2 linked regions of the Kluyveromyces lactis genome follow. Each later gene encodes a partner of the first gene's protein in a complex. Links are inferred from orthologs where the notes say so. Each region holds a gene or a part of one and is shown in the gene's direction. Other genes may lie near its edges. The genes, in order: BMS1 and RCL1.

Evidence for each region.
Region 2: the proteins of BMS1 (region 1) and RCL1 are in contact, whole or in part, in a crystal structure (PDB 4CLQ), measured with the Saccharomyces cerevisiae proteins. The link is inferred for Kluyveromyces lactis from reciprocal best matches to the Saccharomyces cerevisiae genes BMS1 and RCL1. Residues at the interface, in NP_015107.1 of Saccharomyces cerevisiae: Ile549, Gly550, Leu552, Ile553, Tyr554, Met555, Asp556, Ile558, Ser559, Pro560, Glu561, Cys563, Ile564, Trp567, Arg568, Val606, Asp607, Leu608, Glu609, Lys610, Phe611, Val612, Pro613, Tyr614, Phe615, Asp616, Phe618, Leu621, Ala622, Lys624; in NP_014633.1 of Saccharomyces cerevisiae: Ser14, Gln15, Asn16, Phe17, Arg18, Leu19, Glu49, Lys94, Tyr98, Glu101, His125, Asn126, Asp127, Ala128, Ala132, Leu137, Arg185, Pro186, Ile187, Ile188, Ile191, Val215, Asn218, Leu219, Gln220, Cys221, Tyr256, Phe257, Glu259, Glu270.

The regions. Positions count from the first base shown.
Region 1 is NC_006038.1:176,323-188,000, reverse strand, and holds BMS1 (GTPase BMS1), read left to right. Parts: upstream 1-5,004; coding exon 5,005-8,508; downstream 8,509-11,678. Other genes in the region: CBP3 (Cbp3p), read right to left, coding at 1-540; KLLA0_B02090g (uncharacterized protein), read right to left, coding at 924-4,283; Arf family GTPase SAR1, read right to left, coding at 8,783-9,355; KLLA0_B02024g (uncharacterized protein), read right to left, coding at 9,833-11,416. UniProt on the Saccharomyces cerevisiae protein: GTPase required for synthesis of 40S ribosomal subunits and for processing the 35S pre-rRNA at sites A0, A1, and A2.
Region 2 is NC_006039.1:521,387-531,537, forward strand, and holds RCL1 (rRNA-processing endoribonuclease), read left to right. Parts: upstream 1-7,519; coding exon 7,520-8,614; downstream 8,615-10,151. Other genes in the region: E3 ubiquitin-protein ligase HRD1, read right to left, coding at 1-354; KLLA0_C05896g (OPA3 family protein), read left to right, coding at 688-1,164; HTZ1 (histone H2AZ), read right to left, coding at 1,609-2,007; PLB3 (lysophospholipase), read left to right, coding at 3,382-5,304; TAF4 (Taf4p), read right to left, coding at 5,830-6,930; MVP1 (Mvp1p), read right to left, coding at 8,783-10,151. UniProt on the Saccharomyces cerevisiae protein: Does not have cyclase activity. Plays a role in 40S-ribosomal-subunit biogenesis in the early pre-rRNA processing steps at sites A0, A1 and A2 that are required for proper maturation of the 18S RNA. RCL1 activates BMS1 by promoting GDP/GTP exchange.

The DNA.
Region 1 (11,678 bases):
ATCCACCAACTTCTGCTGATAATTCTTGCCGTATTTGAACGGCATAGCTCTCATTCTCACGAATAACATCCATTCATGTAGGATAGTAATTTGGTACCATTGGGAGAATGTCTTTGGCAACTTCAAATCCTCGTAAAAGAACTTGGCTGTCTTAGAAAGTGGTTCATCCTCATATTGAAGACCTTGTTCTTTACAGATCGAGTAATAGTATGAACCAGCAATTGGACCGGCTCTAACTTTATCCATATCCAAATTAAGCGTACTAATAACAAATTCACCAAGAGCTTCTTTCCATTTTGGAAGTTGATATGATGCAGATTCGTACTTGGAACTGGATAATTCACGTCTCTTAGTTCTAACGTCTTCTGGTGCAACGCTTTTGCCCTTTTCAGTGGATGTGGTTTCTTTGGTTGAATCGGACTTTTGTGCAGAATTATTTGTAGAATACAAACTAACAGCAGTAACACCCCTATAGCTAGCCAAGCTCTGCTTGAAAGTACGAGATAGAACCACGGTACCCGGTCTTATACTAGAAAGCATTGTTAAATATTTCCTCTTTTCGGTCTCTCCTAAACTTTTTCAATAACTTGCTCTCTACACAAGTTAGACAATGAAACAATTATCGAGATCCGTTAAGCTTGAGAATCGTAATCAGGGTAGTATGAAAACAACGGAGAACTGCGAGACAAAGATCTCTGCGACTGTGTTCAACTCAGTTCAGACTTATAAACTAGCTCATCTTGATTGAATTTAACTTTTACACTTTTCAGACTTTAGGAAAAAAAGAAAGTTGAAGTTTAATGAGAGTCGTATTTTGTGATTAATGATGAAGTTGGCTGACGGTTTTATAGTACAATTGATAATCGGTTCGTTATGAAACTATATACATATATATATATATATTCTATACAGGCGGACACAATTCATGCGGAATTTTCGTCTTGTATAGTTTTTGGCTGTATTTCTGCATTTGCATTGCTGTCTTCGGTCTCTTCTTTTACCGGCTCGCTCTCTGCGATCACTGCTTGTCTTAGGATTTCTGCGAATGTGTCACTGACAGTAACCGGTTCGGGATTCTTTGAAGTCTTTGGATTACCGTTGCACTTGGCTAATTCACTACCGAAAGCTTCAATGGCTTTTCTATTCGTCCAGTTGTTGATTGAAATGCGTTCTGTTTCTCTTTGTAGGTTTAAAAGCTTATCAAAGCTTTTTTTGAGGACGGTCATTTTTCTGTCACGAGATGCACGTAATGATTTCCTTTGCAACCTTGACATCTTGGCACCATTTTCAGTCTCTTTACCATCCAACGCTTTTTTCTTTGCCAATAACTCGTCACGCTGTGCTTCGAGTTGCTCCAGTTTCAGAAGAATCTTACGAGTCTTAGATGAGTCATCAAGAGCCATTATATCTTGTGCAATCTTCTCTAACTCGCCTTCTATATCAGACTCATCTCTGTCGTCCACTGTATCATCTACACTTAATTCGTTATCCGCTATTTCCAAAGCCGCAATCTCTTTCAGTAACAATTCTCTTTTTTCAGTAACTTCGTCTTGAACTTGAGTCTTATATTGATTTAATGTCTCTATCACCGGCTCCATAACTGATTGCAACTGTTTCAGTGTTTCATGTTCTCGTTTTCCCCAGCTGTCCCACCAATTAGTCATCGAAATGAGTTGTTCAGGATCTTGCAAGAATATCCAGTCATTAGGAGTAAACAAAAGACCTTCCGGTGTCTCATCAATAATTTTTCTTTGAAGTGGCGAAAGTTCAATGAACGTATTGAAAACACCTTCTTCATTTATCAACATGATATCTCCCTCTTTATCGTAGTGGAAATAACAACCTTTCTCATCGCGATAAACATGGAAAACCTGTTTGGTGGCTTGAATTTTACCCAATTCGTTAGCTAAAGAAATCCATTGATTGTACTCTTCTTCCGTTATCTTGAAGTAGTATAGCACAGCTTCTTTGACAGGTCCTTGGATCCACAATCTATTGCTTAATAAGTGTGAAGCCTTCGAGAATATGTTCGGCCTAGGAACTCCGCAATATTCTAACCAGTAGATTTTGTTACCATATCTATCATATCCCAAGGGTTTTAGTCTTTGAAGATCAGCTTCAATCAACCTAGCATCAAAAAAGCTTTTCCTCCTTTGGAACCGTTCCAGTTGATCTGTTGCTTTTTTTAGGTTTTCTTTCAGTTCGATATTATCATTACTGCTCTCAGATTGTTGCAACTCAGAAACTGTAAATTGTTCTTTTAGTCCAGCAACAGTATTAGAACATGCTTTAAGATCCCTATTCAATCTAAACCTCTCACTTCTAATTTGGTTACAAAGTTCCATTGAATCATCCATTGCAGATCTTATTATTGATGAGTAGTTGCTCAATATTTCAACTAATATCCACATAATGTTAACTTTCTCCTCAACAGAAATATCTTTGCAAAACTTTCTCCATAAGTACCTATTCAAGGAAATATTTGACGGGGTGTGCTCAGACGGCACCAGATTTTTGATGAAGCCTTGAATTGTCGATTTATACATTGGTAAATGCATGAAGTCTTGGAGAACACCTAAGAGAACTATCAACCAGAAACCATTGTTAAATTGCCTCTTAGAAAGCCTGTCTGTCCATTTTACTTTTCGATAGTTTAAACACTTCTCTAATAACGATTCAAGATCAGCACTAACTTCGTCGTTTTCTTCCATCTCTAAATCTTCATTTTCACTCGAATTTTCGTCCGTGTCCTCCTCAAGCCACTCCGAAGGGACTAATGTCGTCCAATCCCCACTGGTGTCTATGAACAACCTTAACAGTGAACAAAAACACTCCACTATCAAGGAAGTACCTGTTATTTTCAACTCGTCCAAATAGTCATCATTTATCATAGTGTCCAAGGACAAGGTGAACTTCATTTTTTCTGAATTTGAAGAGTCAATATATTTATATATCGATTCATTCCAGATATTAATTCTTTCCACCTTAGTACCCGTACCGTCCTCATAACTAATCGTTACGTACTCGTCCATCATTTGGCGCGGATCAGTAAATCTCAAAGAATTTACAAAATCATCCCAACTAAATTCCGAAAGTTGAAGGGTCGCATTAAATGCCATTAAAAACTGATAACAATGAAGGAGTTTACCAATATCATGCGCAAATGGTTTATCGAGAGAATTTGAGATTGGCACATACTCCTTAGAGTATTTTAAAAGTGCATCGTTGATAGCTGAAGGCCTTGGTGCCATGAAAGGTATTTCCAAATCTTCAGTGATTTGCGTTATGCTTTGTTGATCGCCATTGGTTATTTGATTATTGTCGTTACTGGTATGGTCAACCGAAGGTGAGGATTCAGATATCAGTTCTTCAGTTTTTATTCTTTTCTGATCTGGTGTTTCTGTTCTAGCAATTTCAATTTCTCGTTTATGCTCACCAATGGCTGCCGAAGCTTCTCTTTCTCGATTAAGTTCCGCCATGTGTTGAAGTTGTTGCAAATACTGCGGATCTACGTAATCTTCCTTGTATTTTAGCATACTTTCTGGCCACGTTAAGGTTAAATTATAGATGGGCAAATATTCATCTTTCACACACCATGGGGCACCCATCTTAGTTGAAGCACGACGCAACGTTATCTTACAGAAACATTTAATCAAATGCTTAGTGAAACATGATCTATCACGATAAATCTGATCCTCATCGGCAACGATTGAAGTACTACCTTGTGCTTCCTGTAACATATATTTTGCATGGGCAGGAACCAATTCTTGCCTTGTATCTCTATCTATAACTGCATTAAACTGAGCCTTTTCTTTGATAATGTAAATTTTTTGATGCTGTGATCCATGTGAGTGCTGATGATGTTTTTCAGCATCGTCATGTGAGGAATCTTGCTTACTTTTCCGTAGGTATACCGTTTCTCCAGGGAAATAGTCGTTTTTAAATCTTGCATATACCTGTTCGACGAGCATATCTAGCCTTCTAATCTCGTTGAAATGGATGAATTTTGCAACAGGTTCACGTAATTTTAAAGGGAACATTTTCTCAACGTATTGGAACTGCTCTTCTTCACTGTTCAACGCTTCAAAAAAAGTTAAACATGATGTACCAGTGATCTCACAGGTGAAATAATGTCGCCTATAAAAATCCAATCGTTGCAAAAACTCTGCATAAGTCAAAAACCATTCCCCTGTCTCTTGAATGTACCATATTTTCCTATTGATATTTGACGGTAATGGCCTAGCATCTGGCAACGTTATCGTTTTCCTTTTATACAAAACCATTGCTCACACTGTGTATTCTATCCAAAAAATAAAAAGCTCAACAAGGAAACACACACCACTGAAGACTCTGTTATCCTAGCTTTCCTGCTTCAACTCAGTAAAAATTACACGCACACAGATTGGAAAGAATAAGAACAGTATGTGTTTTCTATGACCAAAAGATGTTGTCTCGTATCCACAACAATATAACTGGTGTAGAACGTACAGTTCTTGTTGTGAAATCCAAATCACCACACAAACGAACTAAAGATAAAAAACACAACAACTTTTAGGGAAACGAATGAAACAAACGACTTTTATTCGGAATCCAACCGTTGATTCATTGACCTTTGTTCTATCCTGTTCTGTTTGTGCATTTGATTGGATTTCGATTTCATTTTGATGTTCGAATTTCGATGAACGCTTTTTTTTCCATATGCCCTTGGGCCCTAGTTACTACGGCAGAGACATGTAGGAATATCTACAAAACTGACAGAATACCTTAAATTCTTAAAAATCAGATCACGTGCAGAATCACGTGATTAGATATCGACAAGGTTCAGATCATTTCTTTTTCTTACCCTGCATGAAAAATTGCATGAAGAAGCTCAACCATCTCATCTCATCTCATCGGTGAACATAAAAGATTCTAGTATCTTGAATTGAATCAAAAGGGTCACTTTAGGCCAGTTAGTTCGAATCACATTGCCTGAATACATCTTAAGACTCTCAAGCTTCAGCAATGGAACAATCGAATAAAGAACATAGGAAGCGGAAGGAGAAGGCTGGTGCCAAGAAGAAGTTACATTCTCAGGGCCACAATGCTAAGGCCTTTGCTGTCTCCGCTCCGGGGAAAATGGCTAAGCAGATGCAACGTACGGGTGATAAGAATGAGAAGAAGTTGCATGTTCCGATGGTGGATCGTACCCCAGATGATGATCCTCCTCCGATCATTATTGCTGTTGTTGGTCCTCCAGGTACCGGTAAGACTACTTTGATCAAATCGTTAGTGAGAAGGTTGACAAAGACCACTTTATCCGAAATTAACGGTCCTATTACTGTTGTTTCTGGTAAGCGTAGAAGGCTGACTTTTATCGAATGTCCTGCGGATGATTTGAATTCCATGATCGATATTTCAAAAGTGGCCGATTTGGTGCTTTTGATGATGGATGGTAATTTCGGGTTTGAAATGGAGACCATGGAATTCTTGAATTTGGCTCAACATCATGGTATGCCTCGTGTACTAGGTGTCGCTACACATTTGGATCTTTTCAAATCCCAGTCAACATTGCGTGCCTCTAAGAAATCTTTGAAACATAGGTTCTGGACCGAAGTGTATCAGGGTGCCAAGCTTTTCTACCTTTCTGGTGTTATTAACGGTCGTTATCCAGATAGAGAGATTTTGAACTTGTCAAGGTTTATAAGTGTTATGAAGTTCAGACCTTTGCAATGGAGAAACGAACATCCTTATTTATTGGCCGATAGAATATCCGATTTAACTCATCCAGAACTCTTACAATCGAAGGGTATGCATATAGATCGTAAAGTCGCCATCTATGGTTATTTACACGGTACTCCGTTACCTTCGACTCCAGGCTACAGGGTCCATATCGCCGGTGTAGGTGACTACCAGATCGATCACGTTGAGAAATTGCCTGATCCTTGTCCGACACCTTATTACCAACAGAAATTAGATGAATTTGAACGTGAACGTGCTAAGGAAGAAGGTTCCACATCAGCAACGACTGTAAGAAGACGTAAAAGATTGGATGATAAACAAAAGCTGATCTATGCTCCAATGTCTGACGTTGGTGGTTTACTTATGGATAAGGATGCCGTGTTCATTGATGTTGGCGGTAAGACAGGTCCAAACTCAATGACTGCAGAGGAAAAAGATGAAAGTGACAAGATCGTGTCCAACCTACAGGCTACATCTCGTTCCATTGATGAAAAATTCGAGAATGTTGGATTGCAGCTTTTCTCAAATAGTACTGAGTTACATGCTATTGAAGATCAGGATGAAGAAGTTGAAGAAGACACCGAAGACGAGGATGATGTTGATAGAGGAAACGTTGGTAGATCTTCCTTAAGAAAGGCAAGAGTATACGGCAAATCCCTTCAGGAATCTAACGCAGATCTCGATAATTTATCAAGTGACAACGAAAACTATAATGAAGATGATGACGAAGATGAAGCACATCGCACTAAATTAGTTGAAATTGATTTTGATGACGAAAAACCTGAAAACATGGCCTTTGAGACAGATTCAGAATTGGATGCATCTGATTCTGAAGGTTGGGAAAGAACCACAGCTGGTAAATTGAATGGTACAAAGAATAAAAGAAGAAAGTGGGATATCAGCAAACTTATCTACATGGACAACATTGCTCCAGCTGATGCAATCAAAAGATGGAACGGCGAGGCCGACGAAACTGAAGTTGAAGAAGATCTAGAAGACGATGAAGATACTGAATTCTTCACCCAAAAGACAAATACTACACCGAATAAGGCAGTAACTTACCACGATGATCTTGAAAGATTTATTCCTTATTTTGATACATTCAATGACCTTGTTGAAAGATGGTCAACTGCCGATTCAATCAAAGACAGATTTGTTGGAAAGCCATCCTTAAACACCAAGTCTTCTGATGATGTAAAGGATGAAGACGATGATGAAGATGAAGTATACGGTGATTTTGAGGACTTAGAAGCTGAGCCTGAAAACACAGATGAGAAGGAGGAGAATTCTGCTGCAGGAGATGAAGAATCTGATAGCAACGAATCGTTCGCTGATTTCGAAGAAGAAGAAAAGAAGGATTTGACCCAGGATGAAGAGCGTGAATTGAATGCCGCAAAAAAAGAGAAATTAAGGTTACAATTCGAAATGGAAGAAGGAGACAACTTTGGAGAAGACCCTGAAAATGAATACGATACCTGGTACGAATTACAGAAGGCTAAGATTGCTAAACAATTAGAAATCAATAAAGCCGAACTGGAATCTATGACTCCTGAACAAAGGCAACAAATCGAAGGTATGAAAGCTGGGTCTTATGTTCGTATTGTCTTCGATAAGGTTCCTATGGAATTCATCGAAAATTTCAACCCAAAGTATCCAGTAATTATGGGAGGTCTTCTTCCCACAGAATTGAAGTTCGGAATTATTAATGCAAGAGTCAGAAGACATCGTTGGCACAAAAAGATTCTCAAGACAAATGATCCTTTAGTTTTATCTCTTGGTTGGAGACGTTTCCAAACTCTACCAATATACACCACTAGTGACTCTAGAACCAGGACTAGAATGTTGAAGTATACTCCAGAACATGCTTATTGTACAGCTTCTTTCTATGGTCCCTTGTGCTCGCCAAATACCACTTTCTGTGGTGTTCAAATAGTTGCTAACAGTGATACAACTGGAAGTTTCAGAATAGCTGCGACTGGTATTGTAGAGGAGATCGATGCAAGCGTAGAAATTGTGAAGAAATTAAAGCTTGTTGGTTATCCTTACAAAATCTTCAAGAACACTGCCTTCATAAAGGATATGTTCTCTAGCGCTATGGAAGTTGCACGGTTCGAAGGTGCCCAAATCAAGACTGTTTCCGGTATTCGTGGTGAAATCAAGCGTGCTCTATCAAAACCAGAAGGCCATTTCAGGGCAACTTTTGAGGATAAGATACTATTGAGTGACATTATAATTCTTAGGTCATGGTATCCAATCCAAGTTAAGAAATTCTACAACCCAGTTACTTCATTGTTGCTAAAAGATAAAACTGAATGGAAGGGTTTGAGACTAACTGGTCAAATTAGAGCATCTCTTGGAATCGATTTACCGACCAACAATGACAGTACATATAAGAAGGTTGAAAGAGTTGAAAGGAACTTCAACGGTTTAAAGGTACCAAAATCTGTTGCCAAAGACTTACCTTTCAAATCCCAGATCTATCAAATGAAACCGCAAAAGAAGAAAACATACATGGCTAAGAGAGCTGTCGTTCTAGGCGGCGAAGAGAAAAAGGCACGTTCCTTCATGCAAAAGGTTCTCACCATTTCGAATGCGAAGGATGAAAAGAAGAGATCCAAGAAAGCTGAAGAAAGGAAGGAAAGACTCAAGAAGCTTGCTAAGTTGGAGGAATCGAAGAAAGAAAAGGAGAAGCAACGTAAGAAGGACTTCTTCTCCAAAAACGGTAAAAAAAGACAATTCAACGACAATGACACAAGTGATGTTATGTCTTCCAAGAAAAGGAAATAAACTATGTATTTTAACCTATTTACATTGCATAATTTGAATGATAGAGTATAAAGTAATTGTTAAGAACCAAAATGAACTACTGTATTAGTTAAGAGTCGCATTTGGAGTTGATTCTGAGCTGGAGATTTTCTATGTTAATGCAATTCTAAGAGACCATGAGATTCTGAAACATAGCTAAGTATTTTATGCATATATGATTATAGTTATTCTTCTCCATGCTTATTAGGTGATATTTGCAGTTATTATATATCGTTAGTAGCGCTTGCTTAACTACTTAAATATATTCAGATAGCCACTTGAAGGCTTCAGAGTAACCAGACTTCATGACAACGGAACACATGAACAACTCGATAGGTCTTTGACCTTCAATTTTGGTATATCCAGTTGTGTTCATCAAACCCAATGCAGCTCTCAATTCAGTTTCAGAAACGGCACTTGGAGAGTCAATCTTGTTACCCAAGACAGCAAATGGAACGTTGTCCAATTCCTTGATTTGGAACAAAGCATCCAATTCAATACGTGCTTCGTTAAATCTCTCTGGGTCAGCAGCATCCACTAGGAACACAATACCATTAACTTCTGGGAAATAATCCTTCCACAATCTACGTGCTTGCAAATGTCCACCTAAATCAAAAGTGGTGAATTTGATATTACCGATCGCCAATTCTTCAGAAGTTGGGTGCCAAGTTGGTTGCAAAGTAGCTAATCTATCGTTCTTCAACATATGTAACAAGGTAGTCTTACCAGCATTGTCTAAACCTAAGAACAATAACTTACCATGCTTGTTCCATAATCCTAGGGATGATAGAATGTCCCTGAACCATCCAAATAAATCCCAGCCTGCCATCTTTTACTGTATTTTCCGTACAACAAATGAAGAGTCAATAAAGAATTAGTAGCTTAAAGTGCCGTAATTTTTAAGTCGAATTACTAACTAACAGTAACTAAATGAAGATCATAAACTTTGTTTTTAAAATATGCCTGCCTTTGTTCTTTTGAAAGACCAATCTGTTCATTTTCGTAAAACGGTCAAATGTTTCTTGATCTTCCTATTAATTGAAATCACTTGATACGATTGATATAAGATTACACATTACAACTATGTGAATATAACTTGGTATAAAAGAGCAATGCAGGATGTGAACGTGCGTTTATGAAAGAGCTTTGGAATCAGTTATTACGGAGGTGTATGGAAATTGCAACTTTTTAGATTTGCTTGTTGTTGTTTTTTCATTAGAAATATCAATTTGTGCTAAAAGTAACTGCTTCCTTTTATGCAAATACAGTTGATGCAAGAGTGCGCCGGAAATTACAATGGCGACCATCAGCTCAGGTTTATATGCTCATGTAGTGCGAGTACAGTTTTTATTGAAAGCTCAGTGATAAGAAGACCGTCTTGGGTGTCTTGTAGAATTAAAACTAAATTCAGTTCCAATTTAGAAAGAAGTTTCTTAGAGATACCACACACCTTACTAAAGTACGAATGGGAGTGTACATGATCTTCAAGTAACTTGGCAGCCAAACGGATGAATGCAATGAGCAAACGATGCGTCATGGATTCCGTGATCGGGTTTTCTAGATGAAATTTTCCACTTCCAGTGTCGAACTTTATGTCGCAATAGGTAACTAACAAGAAGGATGCTGTCAAATAGATAATTGGCGGGAATGAACATTTGGATTCGATTCTATCGAGATATTGGGATATGGAGAGAGTAGGAGCTGATTTCATCTGAAAGATTGCTCTAATATTGGAAGTTTCTTCGAGGTTCTCATGAGACCAATGATCTATCTCCATTTCTATGTCATCTTCGGTTTTTGACTTGGTCGCAGAGGGCTCATTATGCAAATTATCATTGTCATTAGAAGTGTCGCCACCGATATCACTATTTCTATTGTTATCATTATTATTTTGATTATTATTCTCATCATTAGTATTGTCATTATCATCATTGTTAATATTATCGCCATCGCTACTGGCATTATTATTGTTACTATTATTTTTATTTTTATTATTATTATTATTATTATTATTATTATTATTATTATTATCAGAATCATCATCATCAGCATTATCATCATTATTATCATTAACTTCGCCTTCATGATTTGTCATACCATTCTCAGCATTCTTACGCATATCAGAAGACAATAGGAGAGCGAGTTGCAGGAAATCATCGAGTATTTGTAAGGCTTCTCTGGATGTCATTTCTAAACCAAACACCTCATTATTGTTTAAATTTGTTTTCAGTAACGAATGTATAAGAAGTGTACTATCCCTTTGGTCATCTATTTTTTCCAGGGGGAAAGATTTGGGTAATCCATTCAGCTCGTTGTGAGAGTTATTGTTATCTTCGTTGTTCAACTTATAATCGGAAACCGAGGTCGTTGCCAACAGATTTGAAAGCCGACGATCGAAAACATTACTCTCTTGATCGGACTCCAAGCCACCCGCAGTAGAATTGTCTCTATCCCCAGCTTCACTGAGCTGGAAATTAGATGCAGATCCCGCTGACGCGGTAGCTTTCGCACTTATGCCTGTCGGAGTATCTGGCGTTGTACTTCTATACCATTCCTGTACATCCAAACCGGATTTGAAGTCCGTAATTTTTTCTATATTATTTTCAAAGAACATATTCAAGTTACTAGTGTTTTCCAATAGCTGTTCCACGGTCATCCTGTTTTTGCCTTCAGCGAACCGCACTTTTTTAGAATCGGCGGTATGTAACACATCATCGAAGTTTCCGTCTAGATGTCGACTTTTCAAAGGTAACCCAAAACTTTCATCCTCAACGTCGAAATCACTTGGATCACATTCTTCTTCCCTATCCAAAACACCGTTCACCTTGAACCAATCACGCTTGTCCCCAATGAACGCGTTTCTAGGCGATGTAGAGCCACTTAAAACCATTTCTTTTCAAAAAATGTGGTCAGCACACGCTACTAAAAGATGCTGTTTACTGATCTCGCAAATCAAATCCAAATAGTAACGATAAAAACACTGGTAGGACCCCTAGAGGATAAATAGAAGCTAGTTTCAAACTCACCAAAACCAAATACCAAAACTGAAGCAAAAACTCAGTTTAACTGATACTTCTTCGTCCCTCAATGCGGAGATACTCCTAAAAACAAACCGCTATTTTCTGTTTGTAGAGACCCAGATTTAAGCAGCA
Region 2 (10,151 bases), on another chromosome or scaffold:
CCCATTCATCGACGAGCACGATAATAACAAAGTTATTACGGTATACGATATCCGTTCGAGAATATGTTCATATTCAATCAACCGTAACTGTCCAAATAGCATGTGAATGACACCCTTTAGTATTAAGACGCTGTTTAATAGAAAGAGATTCCCCCATATCATGGCATGGATACCCTCGGTAATCTTCGTCATTGCATGCAAATAAGAGAAAGATGTTGTTACACAATAATGTAAAGACCATGCGGCTGCCGTATATGACATAAGGGAGTAGGCAATAAACTTTTGGGTCAGAAACACATTTTGCGGTTGACCAGGAGCACCAGCTTCAGGATTCCGATTGAATAAACCAAACATGACGTCGACGTTGTAGCAAGCTTGAGAAGAATCAAAAGGTCAGTCTCCGAAAAGTGATAGGACATAAACTGTCTCAGCTCCTTGTTTCGATTCCCAGTTTTGTCTGCAAGATGTTTCTCTTTGGATCATTTCACAGTTTTAAACCTTTTTTTAGTCTGTATAAACGTTTCGATATCTTTCAAGTTGCGTATAAGAAAAATAGAGTTTGATAAAATACATACATGGGAGTGTAGAAGAGTTATATCAAGGGAAAGCTGAAGTTCTGCTATGTCTAAGGTTGCGTAGTTGATGCTATATAGGTATACGTGCTAAGGCGGCGAGTTAAGAGAATAAATGAGTGCTATAGCATTGAAACTGGGTGCGTTGCTTGTACGGCAGGTTACACGACCAATGGCAAACGTGCTGAAGCGGCAAGCAAAAGAGCATGCTGTATTCAAGGAAATTTGCATCGGTTTGGCCCAGAAAATGCACGTTGCAGATGTTGTGTTGAGAAGCAAACTGACGCCAACTAAGTTTTCCAAAACGATTCGTCCGTTGAACGATACGAAAGCTGTTGAAAATGGTGCAACGTTGCTCAGCGAAGGCTTTGTATTTGGTGTTACGGGTAGTGTTGTAGTGTGGGAGACTTTAAGACAGCGTCAAAAGGAGCTGGATAGACGTGAACAGGTCACTCAAGATATTGCTTTTTTACAATCGGAAATCGAAGAACTGAGATCAACGACTAAGACCCAAAGCGACCAAATAAAATCATGTCAAAGTCTTAAGGAAGAACTAAAATTAATTCAGTCAAAACTCTCCTCACATAAATGAAAATACAAAAAGGATATTGGACCACCGATATTCTAACGGAACAAACTTGTATATAGTCCTATTCTGGAATGAATAAGTATTTGAGTATAGACGTAAACACAAGCTCTAATATTAACAGGTCATGAGTAAAAGTAGGAATTGGATTATAGATGTTACATATACATAACTGTTTAATAAAAATATGGAAATGGAATAGATGAGGGTTAAATTGCACTTTTGATATTTTGAGATAAGATAATGCGGTGAATTAGTAGTGTACCATCACGACAAGGGAAAAGAGAGGGGGGGGAAGTGGAGATGAAAATATACAACCCTTCACCCTGGGATATGATTACAGTTAGAGTCAAAAAGTAGAAGAAATATAATAATGAAATAACAATAGAGAGCTGTTTTTAAGCGCTTAGTCTCATTAAACTTCATTCAAATTGATACAATTTTCACGCTTCATTTATGCTTCTTTTCCACTTTCAACAACAAAGCCTTGTTGATATGAGGTAGAACACCACCAGAAGCGATAGTGGCTCTGATCAAGGAGTCTAATTCATCATCACCTCTGATAGCAAGTTGTAAATGTCTTGGGGTAATTCTCTTCACCTTCAAATCTTTAGCAGCGTTACCAGCCAATTCCAAAACTTCAGCAGTCAAATACTCAAGAACAGCAGTCAAGTAAATAGCAGCCTTGGACCCAACACGGGTTCTTCCAGCAGCATTTCTCTTCAAATAACGCTTCACTCTCCCAACCGGAAACTGAAGACCAGCTCTAGCAGAATGTGATTGTGATTTCAATGAACCACTGTCTTTGGCTCCCGACTTACCCTTTCCACCGTGTACTTTTCCTGACATGTTGTTTCTCCTATAATAACTTTAATATGCTCTTTCTTGCAATGTCTGATCGTATATATCTCAAACTTGAAAGCAAACAGCAGATTCTATCTTTTCTTAGTCCCTCTGGTCCAATATTCAACTTATGTGAAGTTAAGTTAAGTTAAGTTGATATCGATTTGTTTTTGTTTGTTTTGATGTTTATTTTTTATTTTTATTTTTCTGTCTGAAAGTTTCGTGTTTCCTCTCTTACTTTCATATTGTGAGATTTGCTACAAGTAATAAGATTTGGGGTAAGGGCTAGGAAGAACCGGGAGGGACGAAGGTATTTGAAATAATGAAGATATACAGGCATCGACATGTCTGGAGTTGTCAAAGGTGAACATACGGTTTGATTGGTCTAGCTTTGAAGTGCAGTTTGCCGCTTTCTTGATTTTTTTTTTTTTGCCGCCTGCTATTCTACCGGTTGTTTTTTTTTTCCTTTTCCCTCAGACGAGACAGCATGGCAGGGTAACTATTTATGAACTCGAGATGCTTGCAACCTTGTACCCTTAAAGAGCGTAGGAGCCACTGATGGATTTAAGAAACGTTCCGGCTCATTTCGAAGAACATATGGTAGTGGTGTTACTGCAATGATGGTATTTTCACTGTGTGTCCCCTTTAATTTTAAATGAGGGCCGGAATTCGTTTTTCGAATGGAATAGTAAAAGGGCTTTAAAGTGAATGCTTGACAACTGAGCATTTTCAGTTAGACTAATGTTCCAATTTTTGTACGTGCATCCGAAAATTTGTCTGTATTGCCAGCCTCTTTTACCTCCTTTCCTCCAACTAATAGGGGCTTCATGCAGCGTCTATTATAGGGGGAAGGGCATTTACTTAACAAAATTTTTGGAAACCCTTTGATAATAATGCACTTGTACCATTTCTTAGGTGCGTCGTTACTATGGTAATACATAGATTGTATTTTCCGTGCGTTTTTTTAGACATTTTTTTGCGGGCATGCGTGATGAATTCTAACTATAACAATCCTACACACTTTGCGTGAAGAAAAGTGGAAAATATAGAAGTTTAAATGCTCAGCTAATATTTTGTCATAAATCAATAAACTATGGAACCTGGTGAATATATAACAATGCTACCGTTTCTCTCATCTACATCTTGAGTCCTAACTCGACCCAATTAAGTTGATTTCCAAGTCCATAACTTAAAGCAGTTAAACAATCAGCTTTTACGATAGAAAGTCCACACTCGGTAAAATCAAACGATTATTTTATTGAATCTTTTGGAGTGTGTCACTTCTGTACATAGTATTATCGTGAAGGGCGCAGACATCAACTCTGAGTTAGGTTATCTATAGAATTGTTCCGAGTTAAAGATTAGTTTATTCCTTTTCTGATGTGGTTTTTGAACTCAGTTAATCTGTTGTTTCTGGTATGTTCGGTTGCCCTACATCTAGATGCCGTTAACGCATGGTCTCCGACAAATGGTTACGCTCCTGGTGTGGTCGATTGTGATGAGAATATAAACTTGGTTAGAAAAGCTGATGCTGTTTCAGATGATGAAGCGGATTGGTTGAAAGTTAGACACGAATCTACTGTACCAGCTTTGAAGGACTTCTTGCAGCGTGGTTTTAAGGGTTTTACCAATGACACCTCAATCATTGATAAACTGTTAGCGACCCAAGACACTGCTCCCAAGGTTGCTATTGCCTGCTCTGGTGGTGGTTATAGAGCAATGTTGAGCGGTGCTGGTATGATTTCTGCCATGGATAATAGAACTGACGGTGCAAATGATCATGGTTTGGGTGGGTTATTACAAAGTTCAACTTATTTGGCTGGTTTGTCTGGTGGTAACTGGCTCGTTGGGACTTTGGCCTACAATAACTGGACTTCTGTTCAAGCAATTATCAACAACATGACTGACGATAATAGTATTTGGGATATTAGTAATTCTATCGTCAATCCTGGCGGTATCAACATTTTTTCCAGTATTTCTCGTTGGGATGACATCTCAGACGCAGTGGAAGAGAAAAAAAAAGCCGGCTTCAACACATCTATAACTGATGTATGGGGCCGCGCCCTATCTTACAATTTCTTCCCATCATTGGACGAAGGTGGTGTGGGTTATACGTGGAATACCTTGAGAGATGTTGATGTTTTTAAAAATGGTGAAATGCCTTTCCCTATTTCAGTAGCTGTTGGTAGATATCCCGGTACTCAGGTTGTCAATTTGAATGCAACTGTCTTTGAATTTAATCCATTTGAAATGGGCTCCTGGGATTACACCTTACATACTTTCACCGATGTTAGATATGCTGGTACCAATGTTACTAATGGTACTCCAAACGTAACAGGAAAATGTGTTGCAGGCTTCGATAATACAGGTTTTGTTATGGGTACGTCCTCCTCCTTGTTTAACCAATTTTTATTACAACTTAACACTACTGATTTGCCATCTTTCTTGTACAACTTACTTCACGGATTCTTGACTGATGCTTCTGATGATTACGATGACATCTCGATTTGGGCACCAAACCCGTTCTACGAAATCACGAACATACCTTCTAATTATTCCCAATCCATCAGTGAAGATGATACATTGTATTTAGTGGATGGTGGTGAAGATGGGCAAAATATCCCATTGACACCATTGCTGCAAACTGAGCGGGAAATCGATGTTATCTTTGCTTTGGATAACAGTGCAGACACGGATCAATCTTGGCCTGACGGATTTTCATTGACTCAGACTTACGCTCGTCAATTTGGTCTGCAAGGGAAAGGCATTGCCTTCCCTTATGTTCCAGATGTGAACACTTTCACCAATCTTGGATTAAATACAAGACCTACCTTCTTTGGGTGCGATGCAAGAAATTTGACTGATCTAGAATCAATTCCACCTTTAGTAGTTTATATGCCAAACACAAGGGAGTCCTTCAACAGTAACACATCTACGTTTAAAATGTCGTACTCCACTTCCGAAAGGTTTAAGATGATCCAAAACGGTTTCGAAGCTGTCACCATGAAAAATCTCACTAAAGATGAGAACTTTATGGGGTGTATCTCATGCGCCATATTGAGACGGAAACAAGAATCACTAAATTATACACTTCCATCTGAATGTGATGCTTGTTTCGAAAAATACTGCTGGAATGGAACTGTCGATGCCACCACCCCTATCTCAAGCACTACATCCTCCTCTGCAAGTTCCACCTCAACATCTGATTCCGGCAATAAAGAAAATAGTGCCAGAATTTTGGCCCCAAGAAGTACGCTATCTTTGTTGATTGGAGGTTTAGCTAGTGTCTTCATCTCTTTCTAGTTTACCCATGAGTATCAAACTAAAACCAAAAAAATATATATGCATTGAGTTTTCAGATGTTCATGCAGATTCGTTCTTATGAATTCGTCATTGTACCTCCTTCGTTTCCAATTTCTCTAGATGATCTCCTTTGACCAATGACCAAATCATTGACAAGACTGGAGTATATAAAAGTATCTTGATATGATTCGTTAAAAAGTAATATAATAGATACAAACGATAAATGGTACCGAATTGCGTCGATCATTAGTGTACTTATTAAAGCGTCGTGTGAAGTAATGGTTTAATAAACTCTATTTTTTTTAAACTTTATTTGTCTCTGACGTGATTTTGAGTATTTAGATACTAAAAAATGAAAACTATCTTTAAATATTAAATATGCGACATGTCAGGTAGAAAAGGAAAAGTAATCTCGCATGCAAGTATGAGTCTCTATGTTATTTATCGAAAGGTTTATATTATATAAGTATGCATACTACAGAACATCTCGGAAACTCATATTATTCCTCAAAGTAACTGGAAATGCTAGTCTCTGATTCTAGCATATCCTTTAGTGATAACATTATTAACTCCTACTCGCCTATTTTCTAAAGCTAAAAGAAGGTCCCTCATAACGATGCCAGGTTCTTCTCTTGCTTCTCTATATTTGATACCCATTTCACCCCTTGCTGCAACAGCAGATGAAACATTTCCCTGATTTTTTAGGTCTGTCGAGCTGGACTTGGATCCAGCGGTCAACCAACTATATTTTTTTTTGTTACCCCCTGCAATCATCAAATTGGCAGTTGCATTTGATGCACGATATTGAGTCTCTTCAGTATCTAACCTAGCATCCGTTGTTTGTTTTTCTAAACCGAGTGCTATTCTTCTCTGTACTCTTCTTTCTTCTTGAGTCTTTTGTCTTAATGCTAAATCCCTCAAAGAACGACTCACTTCACTCCTCCTTCCCGTGTTTAGTTTAACACCTTTCCGTCTATGTATGGATAGGATTAAAGAGTTCGTTATCACGTCCCTCATGTAAAGTTCACATGCAGTAGACATTAATCCGAGTATATCAGTGTTTTTATTGAAATCTTGATGAAAGTTTTGTTCTGATGCAATTCTTTTCATGAAATCTGAAATGTTCTTAGGATGTAGGAATGGAGGATGAGATGGGACCTGGTTATTTGCTGAAATACCGGTTGCTTTTGTTCTAGCAACTGTGCTACTTAGCAATGCCTCTTCCTCTCTTATATCAACACCGGCCGATAACAAAGCATCACTAAGCTTGTCTGGATCACTTTGCTGTGGTTTTGTAGTTGAGGCAGTCGTACTACCTGTTGAACCCCCGGCATTCTTCTTCTGTTCTGCTTTCTGTGATTGTTTGCTTGTCGTACTCGTCGTCTTCAAATTTGGCGTACTTGAGTTTCGCGGAGATGCTAGGTTTGTAGTTGGAGATGATGCTTTAGGTAGAGCTAATGGCTGTTCTGTAACCATAGTATCGAATGGCGTAGGCAGATCACTGCCAAAATCTGAGCCACTGGGTTCCAGCCCGTTCTCTACTTTGCCAAATTCGAATGATTTGGAACGTTTATTTGAAGATAAATCTTCCGGTTCAGAATTCTTTCTCTTGGGCGATTTTGCCATCGTATTTTATACTAATTAGACCAATAGTGATAGTTTTCTCTGGTGAAACACGGGGGTAAAAAGAATCGTATTGGATACTTGAGGACACCTATTGCACTTGTCCCAAAAATGCAGGCAAATAAACTATGAAAAGAATAAGTCAATCTTTAAAAACAGGTCCAAATGCGGCCTATCAATTAAAATCCAGTTTCAGCGAAAAACGTACAACCTTAATGATTTCAACAAAGATAAAAAAACGTGCGAGTATTAAACATTATGCTAAAAAGTTCTATCTAGTTCCTACCTCTTTCTTCATTTAGATGCTATTGTTTGCTGGCTTTGATTTTTTCAAGATTGAAAGATCACATAATCCGGGTAACGAAGCTCATTTCTTTTCCTTGCAAAAAATTTGTCAAAAGCGTATCTCATCTCATCTCATCGCCTAACTGAACATACAACACAAAACCAATATCGAAAGGTTTCAGTTAACTTCCATCAACCATTCCATTAGCGTCCGATAGAAGGTCACTTTCTGTATTAAAAACTCTAAAGAGATTTATCAGGAAATTTATTCCTCACGAAGTAGGACAGACAAACAGACAAATTGGACATGTCATCCTCTTCCAGATACGTAACCTTTGAAGGTTCACGGAACTTTCGTTTACGAGTAGTAATGGCTACATTGTCAGGAAAAGCTATAAAGATAGAAAAGATACGTTCTGATGACCTAAATCCGGGTTTAAAAGATTACGAAGTCTCTTTTCTAAGATTGATGGAAGCGGTAACGAATGGTAGTTCAATAGAAATTTCATACACTGGTACCACCGTCATCTTCAGACCAGGAATAATTACTGGTGGTTCATACACACATCAATGTCCGAACAGTAAACCTGTGGGCTATTTTGCCGAGCCAATGTTGTATTTAGCCCCCTTCTCAAAGAAGAAATTCTCAATCCTATTCCGTGGTATAACATCTTCACATAATGATGCTGGAATAGATGCGATAAAATGGGGGTTGATGCCGATTATGGAAAAATTTGGCGTCAGGGAATGTGCATTACATACTTTGAAGAGAGGTTCACCTCCTTTAGGTGGTGGTGAAGTACACCTTGTTGTGGATTCATTGATTGCACAACCGATTACAATGCACGCCTTGGATAAAACAATGATTTCAAGTATAAGAGGTGTTTCATACTCCACAAGAGTCAGTCCCTCCCTTGTAAATAGAATGATTGATGGTGCGAAAAAAGTTCTTAAATCTGCTAGTTGTGAAGTAAATATAACTGCAGATGTATGGAGAGGTGAAAACTCAGGTAAAAGTCCAGGTTGGGGTCTAACGCTCGTAGCAGAGAACAAACAAGGATGGAGAATCTTTTCTGAAGCTATCGGTGACGCTGGGGATGTTCCAGAAGATATTGGTGCATCCGTAGCCTATCATCTACTTGAAGAAATAAGCAAAAGTGGAGTTGTTGGAAGAAACCAGTTGCCACTTACAATTTTATACATGATCATCGGTAAAGAAGATATCGGAAGACTCAGAATCACTAAGGATCAAATAGATGAAAGATTTGTATGGCTCTTACGGGATATCAAGAAAGTTTTCGGTACAGAAATACTCTTGAAGCCAGTGGATGATAACACTACGGATCTAATCGCAACAATCAAGGGTATTGGATTCACAAACACCAATAAGAAAATCGCATAATTGACATTACATATCATTTTATCTGACAAAATGACTCCCATAAGTATTCATATATAAAATTTATATGCATATGTGTCAACACAAATTCCTTCGCGTAGCACTTATTATTATCGTATCAAACAATTCCATAAAGCTTGGAACATTCAAGATAAATATTGTAGGATAGTTTTAGTGTCTTTGCAGGGGCATATCGCGGAGCTTTTTGCAAATTTTTTCCCAATTGTCAACATTGTTATTAGTGTATCTCAAATTTATTTCAATCCACCTCTGGAAGCAATCTGTAATCAAGAATTGAGTTTCATGGAATATTGTGAATTCCTCCAATATACACTCCCTGATCAACCAGCTTCGGTTCATTTGATCGAGTATGCTTCTTTTATCTCTGGAGATGCTCTGTTTTACACGATCATATTCTGCTCCTTTCACATCAGGGTTGCTTTCCAAAGTGTTCAATCTTTCTTGATTTATTTCTACCCTTCTTTGTAACTGAGGAATATTGTTACCTGCCATCATCTTATATCTCTCAAACAATCCTTTCAACGCTATAATAACGTCAATGAAAGCCTTGAATCTAACCGAGAGGCCACTGTCGACTTCCTCGTTTTCTCTTTCTATGACATCTGCACATGAATTCAAATGCTCTACTATCAAACCAACACCTTCGTTTATTTGAGAAACTGTTGCAGTGGATTGTGGATACAATGCTTCCGTTGTGTCTGGAATAGCATTAAGGATTTGTCCTAATAATTTTCTTTCATGGGCAACTTGTTTCATCCTTTTCTCGTATCTTTCTATTAAAACAGTAACTTTAACCCATGTATCCAATGCAATATCAATTCTTTCGTCTGCTTTATTCCATTGTTCGGAAAATTCCTTCCTCCATAAATTCATGAATGAAGAAGATATATGCTTATCAGTAAATTCATCTGTTGTATCGTAATGCGCTTGTTTTCTCCAGCCCGAAAGATCTGTTGGAACGGTCAAAAATGTGAGAACCAAGTCATCACTTCTCAAGACAGGATGTTTCATAACCAAATTGATGAAACGGCTCAAGCCTTTCCTTCTTTTCGCCAAAAATAAAGGGTCTGCGTTCTGAGAGCCGATCTTTTTTGGAGGTAGTTCTGGGACCATTCTAAATGGGTATTTTCTTAGTAATACATCTTGTAGCCAATCAAAATCAGAATACCTTCTCACCACTGTTCTATCATCCGAGGGATCCGTGTTTGGCAAAGGTGTGAGATGCTTGACCAAATAATTAGTGTGCTTGAACACTAGCCCTTCCCTTTCAGGAATTTCTTCTACACTAACGATATCTTCTGCTAGTGGGAAATATGTCTTTCTTACGGACTCAACCCAGTTCTTATACTCGTCGTTTGCAGCATACTGCGGTGTGTCGGTAGCCTGAAAACGATTCACGCCTCGAATATCTGTCTCTTGTGTAGTACTTCCAATGTTTGGACGGTCCCATAAAACATCATTTTGATATACGTTGGAAGCGGTACCCCTAACAATGTTATCACCATTACTGAATATGTTC